2 linked regions of the Caenorhabditis elegans genome follow. The protein of the gene in region 1 interacts with the protein of each later gene in a pairwise test. Each region holds a gene or a part of one and is shown on either strand. Other genes may lie near its edges. The genes, in order: kynu-1 and C54D10.3.

Region 1 (5,239 bases):
AAAAACGTAGTAGGGGATTAAAACATATATTATATTGACTTTGTTTTTATCTTTTTCTGAAATGAAAAGATTGACGTCAGGGATTCGCGTCCTTTTCAATTTTTTTCTGCACATTTACATAATTTTCTTATTTTCTGGAGATTTTTTTTTGAAATATAGGAAAATATATGTACTTTCCAAAATCACTTCGTTTGTAAATAAAATATTTGAGAAGTTGTAAAAAAACTGCCACATTGTGACAGTGTGCCGTGAGAATGTGCCGCTTGGTGCAGTGCATTCATATTTGAGACGGGTTTGGAACAATTTTCAGAAATTTCAGTTTCAATTTAACATTTTTTCAGTGAGGACAAATAGTCTATATTTCTACATAAATTTCAAAAATAATTCTGCCACAATGACGAGAAAAATAGATTTTATAAATTTCCCCAATGTGTCGCACATCTCTGTTTGATTCAAAATTAACAAGGTGTTTTGTTTTAAAACTATTTTCAAAATATTTTCTTTGTTATACACAATCAAACGCATTTTGTGAATTAATGTCACTAGATTATGTATGAAATAATATTTTGTCTCTCCATTTTGAGCAAATCCGAAATCACTTAACATGTAAATTGCAGTCATCTAACTTGCGTGTTTGTACTGCGTTTGCGTTTCAAAATGATTAAATCACATTCAGATCATTTTTTTCATATAAAACTCATACAATACGTTCAACATTATTCTACTACATTGCGAGCCAATTGAATTATTCGCTTTCGACAATATGAGCAACTTCTTGGAGCACGGAAATGAATCTGCGAATATCCACGTAGTTATTGTAAAGATGAACTGGAGCGACACGGATTACATTCGGGTATCTTTTGTCAACCTGAAAGCGTTTATCGCAATTTAGGAATACTTGTAAAAACGCCATAATATTATAGCAAAGTTTGGCTATTTCATCGAACATATGATAAGCTTACCGCACATCCGCGTTTAACAAGCTCAGGATAAATAATGTCGATTGGAGAAGAGAATTTCAGAGAAAGTTGGCAACCACGCTGATGGAACTCTTCTGGAGTGATGATAGAAATTGAGAGCTTAGTAGTTCTTTGCTCAGAGTTTTCACCGAACAAAGTTTTCACTAAGTACTCCAGGTACCCGGTCAAATAGCATGAACGACTACGAAGGTTTTCAAGTGAGACTTGATCGAAAACCTGAAAAATTAGAAATGCATAAAGATTAACAATCAAAAAATAAACCAACCTTCAAACTTCCCAGCATAGCAGCGACGGTATGAATTGGAGGGTTACTGATTCTGTAACCAGCAGCTCCCTCGTCCAAGTCGAGAACTAGAACACAAATGAAATTTATAGAAAAATATATAGACGATTGAAAAAAATCTTACCATTGTCCATGACAAATCTCGATGACATTTTATGACTCCACCATCCCAACATACGCTCCCGTTGGTCATTCAAAAATCTTTCATGGACAAAAAGACCACCAATTGATCCAGCTCCTGTACATCCGTACTTATACGAGCACCAACAGGCAAAGTCAACATCCCACCAGTGAAGATGAAGGGGAACGTTTGCGAAAGCATGGGCCAAATCGAAGCCAACAAAGCATCCCTGAAAAATTAGAATCACGGATGCAACAAGTTACAATATAAAGTATATAAAAGCGTTAGTTTTACAGAAAATTTCATTAAATATTACCTTTCGATGTCCCGCTTCAGTAATAGCCCTCATGTCAAAAAGCTGTCCGGTATAGTACTGGATTCCCGAGAAAAACACGATTGCAATCTCATCTCCATTTTTCTCAATATAATCAAGGATGTCTTCTGTGCGAAGAGTTTCCTCTCCCTCTCGTGGTTCAAGACAAACCATACTGTCCTGAACAGTTCTTCCCTTCAAACGAATCTGAGATTCAATTGCATAATGATCGGATGGGAATGCTTTGGATTCGAGAAGGATTTTATGACGAGTCTCCGTGGGTTTGTAGAAGGAAGTCTGAATTAGTCAGGTTAGCATTAACACCAATAGTTTTCACATTTACCAAGAGCACGTGGATATTAACAGTTAAACTATTGCACACGGAAACTTCCTCTTTCTTGGCACCAACAAGACGTCCCACACCTTCTAAGCAGTACTCATCACAATGAGCCCATGGAACTTCTCCAGACATATGCCCGAATACTCCCCTGAAATGTGTACTGTTGTGGGAAGTGCAAAATTAAAAAACCAACATTTTGGCCCATTTGTCCAAATGATCTTTCATGACTTCGCCGGTTGCTTTTGGCATCAATCCGAGTGAGTTTCCGCATAGATAAATGCTATCACTCTCTGGATCAACAAGGCTTGGATCAGCTGAAACATTCGATCTTAAAGTTATTCACAAGTGGAAAGGTTTCTATTCCAGCCAAAAAACGGTGAAAACTTAGTGTTCTCAATTTTTCAAAAGTTGCCGATTTAAAAAAAATTCCTCCCAGTTTTATATTTTAATTATGTTTAAAATGTTTATATTTTAACTTTGTAGGGGTTTAAACATTTGAGAGTGCTTTAGATTTCTTCAAAACTCAGTTTTCACCATTTTTGATTTAAAATAAACAAATTCCGAAGTTAAAAATTATTATGATTTTTGCACCTTAGTTATTTCCCCACAAACCGTACTTAACATTTAAACTTGTCAGCTATAATAATTGATAATTTCATATTAATAAATTGTGTTTCTTTATTTTAACACCAACTCATGGCAAAATTGGCGAATGTGGAAATTTACAACATGGCGAAACTGGTTATTCTGAAGTTTTTTGAAAAGAATTTTCTCTAGAACTTACCATCTGGAAGAGTTCCGGCTTTCGGATAATGGAACAAGTCTCTAATTTCTTTCAGCGCATCACTATCGGAAAGAAATTCTGCAAGAGCCGGGTCCGTCAAATCTTTGATTCCACTTTCCTAAACTTATTTTTAGAGCTAACAAATTTCAACAAAAAATAATCTTACATCAGCCATTTTGTTTAAAAACTGAAGAACTTTATCTTGAGTGCACATGCATTCTTGCTCATTTTCAGGCTGCGGTGGGGCGTCCGACATGATCTTCAAAAAGGAAAATGTTAGAATCTTCAAAAAAAAAACAAATTTCTAAACAAAAATAAGAAATCGGAAAACTTTGAGACAAACAACAGCTGCATCCTACACAATATACGCAATACACTCCGCCGTTAAATAAAAGGGAGTTGGGTCGTCGGGCGAAATTTTATCGTTTTCGACTTCTTTTTTCTGTTCGCTAGAGATACACAAAATAGACAAGACCAAGCGCGATAAGATATGGGTGTTTCGTTGAAAATCATATACTGATTGCGTTCATAAGTACAGACAAAAGTGACTTGTCTGATCGATTAATAGATATAAAAAATAAAAAGATATTTATCTCTCAAGGTCACCATCTTTGCATCTGCTTGGTGTACAGTTCTGGTGATCAATACTTTGGTTATTATCAAAAATAAACATGTAACAACATATTACAATGAAGTTTTCTGAAACAAAAACAATAATTTCTTCAAAGATATCTGATGGGTATCTTTCAAATTTTGAAATCGACAACACAAATTTGAAGTTTAGTAAAGCAGTGCTCCTAATTCATAATCTATGTCGTTTTCTGAACACCGCTTCATCGGTTGCTTAGATAAAAGCTCATACCACGCGTGGTATCAAAAACTTGGAAAAAACCTTGAAAAAAAAGTCAAAATAAGATACAAAACCGACATAATGTACAAAAAAGTGTAATTGAACATATTTAAGAGTTTCAAGCTTATTCAATGTTCAATAGCTCCGAATCGAGCATAAAAGTATTACCAATATGAATAGTGAAAACATGATAATAATATTAAAAAGTAAATTATTCACTGGCAAAATACAAAACGCAGTGAGATTTAATTTTAGTGTTAATCATTTTGACATTTTTCAAAAAAAAAAAAAAATTTCCTGCGAAATTTCAATAAATCGCAGAGGATCCTACACAGGCTGGTACTTTTTTGTTCCTTTTGGTTTTTTTTTGATTTTTTTTGGTTTGTTTTTTTTGTTGATACGAAAAATTAATTGTTTAGTTTTATTTTGGATTTTTTTGGAGACCAAAAATTACGCTACTTCCTTACTTCAAACGTTTTTTGTATACAAAACATATTGTATTAGCTTTTTTCATGCTATATGAGTTTAACTATAGTTTGTGAACTCACAAAATATAACTGTTTTGCTTTCTTTAGTCCAATATCATTTTTGGTCCCAATCCTTGCCCTCTAGCAAGTGGGCGGTCGATTTTTTTGTTGCTATTTTGCTCTCATTTTTAAGATATCAAAAATAAAATTGTAGGCAAAGTGGTTCTCGTATGCCAAATCCAAAACCATTATTAGTTACTTATTTAAATTTTTGGAAAATCACTGAACTCGTGGATGTTTTGCATTCTAATATTATTTCTAGCACCTTCTACTGAGTCATGAGATTTTTCTATCTTTACAAAGCTTCAAATTTTCATTATTTGGTTATAGAAAAACAAGATACAATGATTTTACTTCAATGGTAATAGTAGCAATTAATTTTTTAAATGAATCAAATTTTTGGAAAAACTCGTAAAAGCTAGTTAAAATGTAACTTTAGTCAAAGAAAAAATATTTGTGAAATAGTTAAATTCACATTTTGCAACGGTTTTATAGACAAAAACATCAGTCCGGTCAAAAAATATAGTAAAGCTAGTTCAGTTTTGGCTAGGAATTGAAAACGTAAACGGCAAACTGGTGAATATCGGAGGAATACAAGGAATTGAAGAGTGGGCTATCGAAAGCAGTTGATGTGAGAATTGGGAAGGAATTGGAAAATGCTGGAACATATTTGACCAAGGGTTGTTCGTCGTTTTCTACCATCTAGAAAAATATATGTTAAGTTTGCAGATTTTGAATCTTAAACTCACCTTCAGTGCAGCTGAGAAGTAGAAATCGAGCAAGCTATTCAGTACATGTATGCTTTTGCTTGATTCAAGATTTGTTGTCAGCTTTTGCAGAAGTTTCATTACAGACGAGCTGTTGTCCTGCTGAAATATTTTTTTTCCATAGGATTTTTCGGTATTTTTTCAATTACCCCGTCCCCATCCAATGGCGCAACCAGTTTAGTTAAAAGTCCATTAAAACTAATTCGGTATGATACTCTATCAAAAAAGTCCCTCATTTCTGTTTTTGATTTGATATCCGTTAGTTTCCAATTTT
Region 2 (3,185 bases), on another chromosome or scaffold:
AAGAACACTGAAAACAAAAATATAGAAACAAGTTAATACGAGAATGTCTCACTTGAATAAATGATTATCAGCTAATCTGGTAATAGCAACAGATTGTGCTTCTTTTTCTTTTGGTAAAGACTGGAAAATTATAAAATTAACAGTTTTTAAATATTTGATTCCTACCGAAATATTAAAATGCTCGCGAAGTCGCACTTCAATAAGATCTGTATCAGCAATATGCTCCCCATTTAATTCAATAAATGGTAATGTTCCGTTTCTCGACCAAATAAGTTTCTCATCACATATCTGTTAAAAATGCATAATATTCAGAATTAAATGAGAATTCTCACCTCATATGGTACCTTGTATGCTCTACATAAAACCTCAACTTTCATGCAAAATGGTGATAGATTCGGGCATTTCTTGGTTCTTTTGAATTGATACAAGTAAACAGTTCCCCTGTTGTAATCTTTTTTATAAGGTTCTGGTTTTGCACGAATAGATGGTTTCTTGAAAAACTTTTTATAAATAATAATTCCTATCACAGATAAGATGAACACAACTTTGATTGCACAGGAACTGATCATCTGAAAAAGTACTTGTGTTAAGTTTTTCATTTGAAAATTTAAAAAGAAATTGCATCAAATAGAGAAAATCCAGAATGAAAATTAAAATTGCACTATTCAGATTGCCCGTTGATTAATTGAAAAAAAACTATAAATAATAATGAACATGTTTGTCCCAAAACGAACTTTATGAAATCATTTTAATTTTAAATGTTCAAAAACGAGTTTTGTTGCTCTAATCATTGATATCTCTTTTATTTTTGTTTAGATAAAAAATATTGAAACATTGATAAAACATCACAGATTGCTCTAATGGATTAATTTTTATACAGTTTAGAATTTTAGAGAAATGATGCCACAAAGCATTTAAAGTGTTTTGTAAATAATTCTTGAAGTTATTACCCAAAAACATCTCTAAAAAATGATGATTTTTAATATTTACAGGGGAAAAAAATCAGAAAACAGGCTGTAATAAAATTTATTTAGGAATATTCGGAAAGCGTATTTCGAATGAAATTTGAGTACTCTCATCGAATTAAATAAACATGTTTATTTTTTCTGTTCTATTTTATAGTGGAACACTTTTGTTTACAAGTTGATGCAAGAACTGTCTAACGGATCAGAGACTACTCTTTTTAACAACAAAAACATCTTGTGGAAACCAATTTCAATGTTCACAGCCATCTCACATTCACGTGCAAGAAAGTAGAAATATGGAACTCGAACGTATTGCTTGTTGCTGCCTTCCGGTTATATACAACAATCAGACTCTTCTACATGGTCCGTCGACTTTCCAGCTGCCCGTTATGAATAACTCTGAGAACTATGTAGGACTCTGCTCAGGCAATGCCGAGACTATCATAGGTGACTGTACAATTGGGTATAAGATTCTATCTATGTATTAATTAGCATTCCATTTTACTGTTATAATGCAGTCAACAAAATTTACTGTTCACAATTTGAGTTCCACGGATGAAAGATTAGCACCACAACAATTGAATTGCAATACTTATGAATAATTCATAAAATTCAAAACCCACACAGCAATTTTTTATTTTAGGAGAATCTCATCTTAATCAAATGCAAAATAAAAGTTTGTTTGCTCAACTGGGAATAATTTATATTTAGGCATATTGTTGAACTTTTCGTTGACTATAAAAGAAGCCATATCTAATGGATTTTACAGTCAGTTTCAAAACCTTATAATATTTTATCTAAACCTTTCCTATTTTCAGGTAACAAAAAATGCTGTTCATCATTTTGGTTTCTACATTGGTAGCTTCTGCTTCCGCCCAAACATGTGCCAACGACCAAGGACGTACGCTAAAGAATTGAGGGTAAAATTTTCATGAAAATAAAATAAATTTCAGCATGTCTCAAAATGACTGTCAACACTATGGACATCTACATCTGTCCAGAAGGAATGGCCTGTTTGACAAACTCCACTTGTTGTGAATATGCTGATATTCAAGTGTCTACTACGACCACCACAACAGCTGCATCCACCTCTAGTAAGACATAAGAGACCTATTGAAACATCAGTTTATTCTTAATCATTCAGCTTGTGTCGACAAAGTCAATCCGTCGACAGGAGTATCTGATTGCCCAAAGAGTGCTTACCTGTGCAATGATTCAACCTATTACACATTGATGACTGAGGTAATAAAATTGAGTGAAGACTTCTAATGATACATTGTACATTTTCAGCAATGCCCAAAAACGTGCAACAGATGCAGTGGTGGAAACAATAATAATAACAACAACAACAACGGTGGATCATCTTCAAGTTTGTGCAAATTCTTAATATTTAAAAAGCAATGGAAGATATAAATGTTACAGGCTGTGTCGACAAAGTGAACCCATCAACCGGAGTTTCTGAATGTGCAGCTAAAGCCTACTTGTGTACCAACTCGATCTACTTGTCTTTGATGAAAGATCAATGCCCCAAGACTTGTGGATTCTGTTAGGATACCGTCATGTTACGGTTCCAGATGAACAGCATAATAAATCAATAAATCATTCGAAGTTTCACAAATATTCATCGATAAATGAAGATTTAGTAGTCAACATTTATTCCTGTTTTCTTTCTGATTTTGACTTTTTTTCTGACTTGAAACTTTTGTTCGAAGCCTGAAATAGAATTTTCATTGAACACCTTTAATGTTAAAAGAGCTTATATTCACTGGAGACACTGGACTTGGGTTCTTCTCTTCAATCTTTTTCGTTTCTTTTGCTGTTTTCCTCATCGCCCACATTCGATGATCATTGACATGGATCTCTAAGGAATGCCTCCAATCACGGATATACTTGGATCTAGCAAGCCGTCTATCCATCTGTAATTACAGTTATGAATAAATAAATTATTGAAATTTAGATGGTTGCCTCAAATTGTGAATAGATAAATGGAGAAATAACGGCAAATATAATAGACAAAACTGTCCCAATACACGAATAGAGCAAGATTCTGACTGTGTATAGTGTTTTCAAGCGTTCTTCACAACCTCTAGAGTGAGTTTTTCCACATGTGGAATTTTTGAAAAGTGAGTTATGAGGGCACCCAATATTCAGCGTCGATGTAAACGGTATTTTGTCTTCTGATGCAGTTGTTTTCTGAAAAATATAGTATTATAAATTAAC

Evidence for each region.
Region 2: the proteins of kynu-1 (region 1) and C54D10.3 interact in a two-hybrid assay, tested with the Caenorhabditis elegans proteins (one large-scale study listed by BioGRID).

The regions. Positions count from the first base shown.
Region 1 is NC_003284.9:6,106,259-6,111,497, forward strand, and holds kynu-1 (Kynureninase), read right to left. Parts: upstream 3,081-5,239; 5' UTR 3,078-3,080; coding exon 2,988-3,077; intron 2,940-2,987; coding exon 2,822-2,939; intron 2,352-2,821; coding exon 2,231-2,351; intron 2,186-2,230; coding exon 2,041-2,185; intron 1,995-2,040; coding exon 1,701-1,994; intron 1,614-1,700; coding exon 1,388-1,613; intron 1,332-1,387; coding exon 1,246-1,331; intron 1,197-1,245; coding exon 963-1,196; intron 869-962; coding exon 746-868; 3' UTR 662-745; downstream 1-661. Other genes in the region: prx-3 (Peroxisomal biogenesis factor 3), read right to left, coding at 4,745-4,900, 4,948-5,067, 5,115-5,239. UniProt on the Caenorhabditis elegans protein: Catalyzes the cleavage of L-kynurenine (L-Kyn) and L-3-hydroxykynurenine (L-3OHKyn) into anthranilic acid (AA) and 3-hydroxyanthranilic acid (3-OHAA), respectively.
Region 2 is NC_003283.11:12,416,809-12,419,993, forward strand, and holds C54D10.3 (ShKT domain-containing protein), read left to right. Parts: upstream 1-1,783; 5' UTR 1,784-1,793; coding exon 1,794-1,866; intron 1,867-1,918; coding exon 1,919-2,059; intron 2,060-2,109; coding exon 2,110-2,207; intron 2,208-2,255; coding exon 2,256-2,334; intron 2,335-2,387; coding exon 2,388-2,515; 3' UTR 2,516-2,620; downstream 2,621-3,185. Other genes in the region: cdr-3 (CaDmium Responsive), read right to left, coding at 1-7, 53-120, 166-288, 333-569; C54D10.4 (RDS/peripherin-like protein xRDS35), read right to left, coding at 2,693-2,881, 2,931-3,158.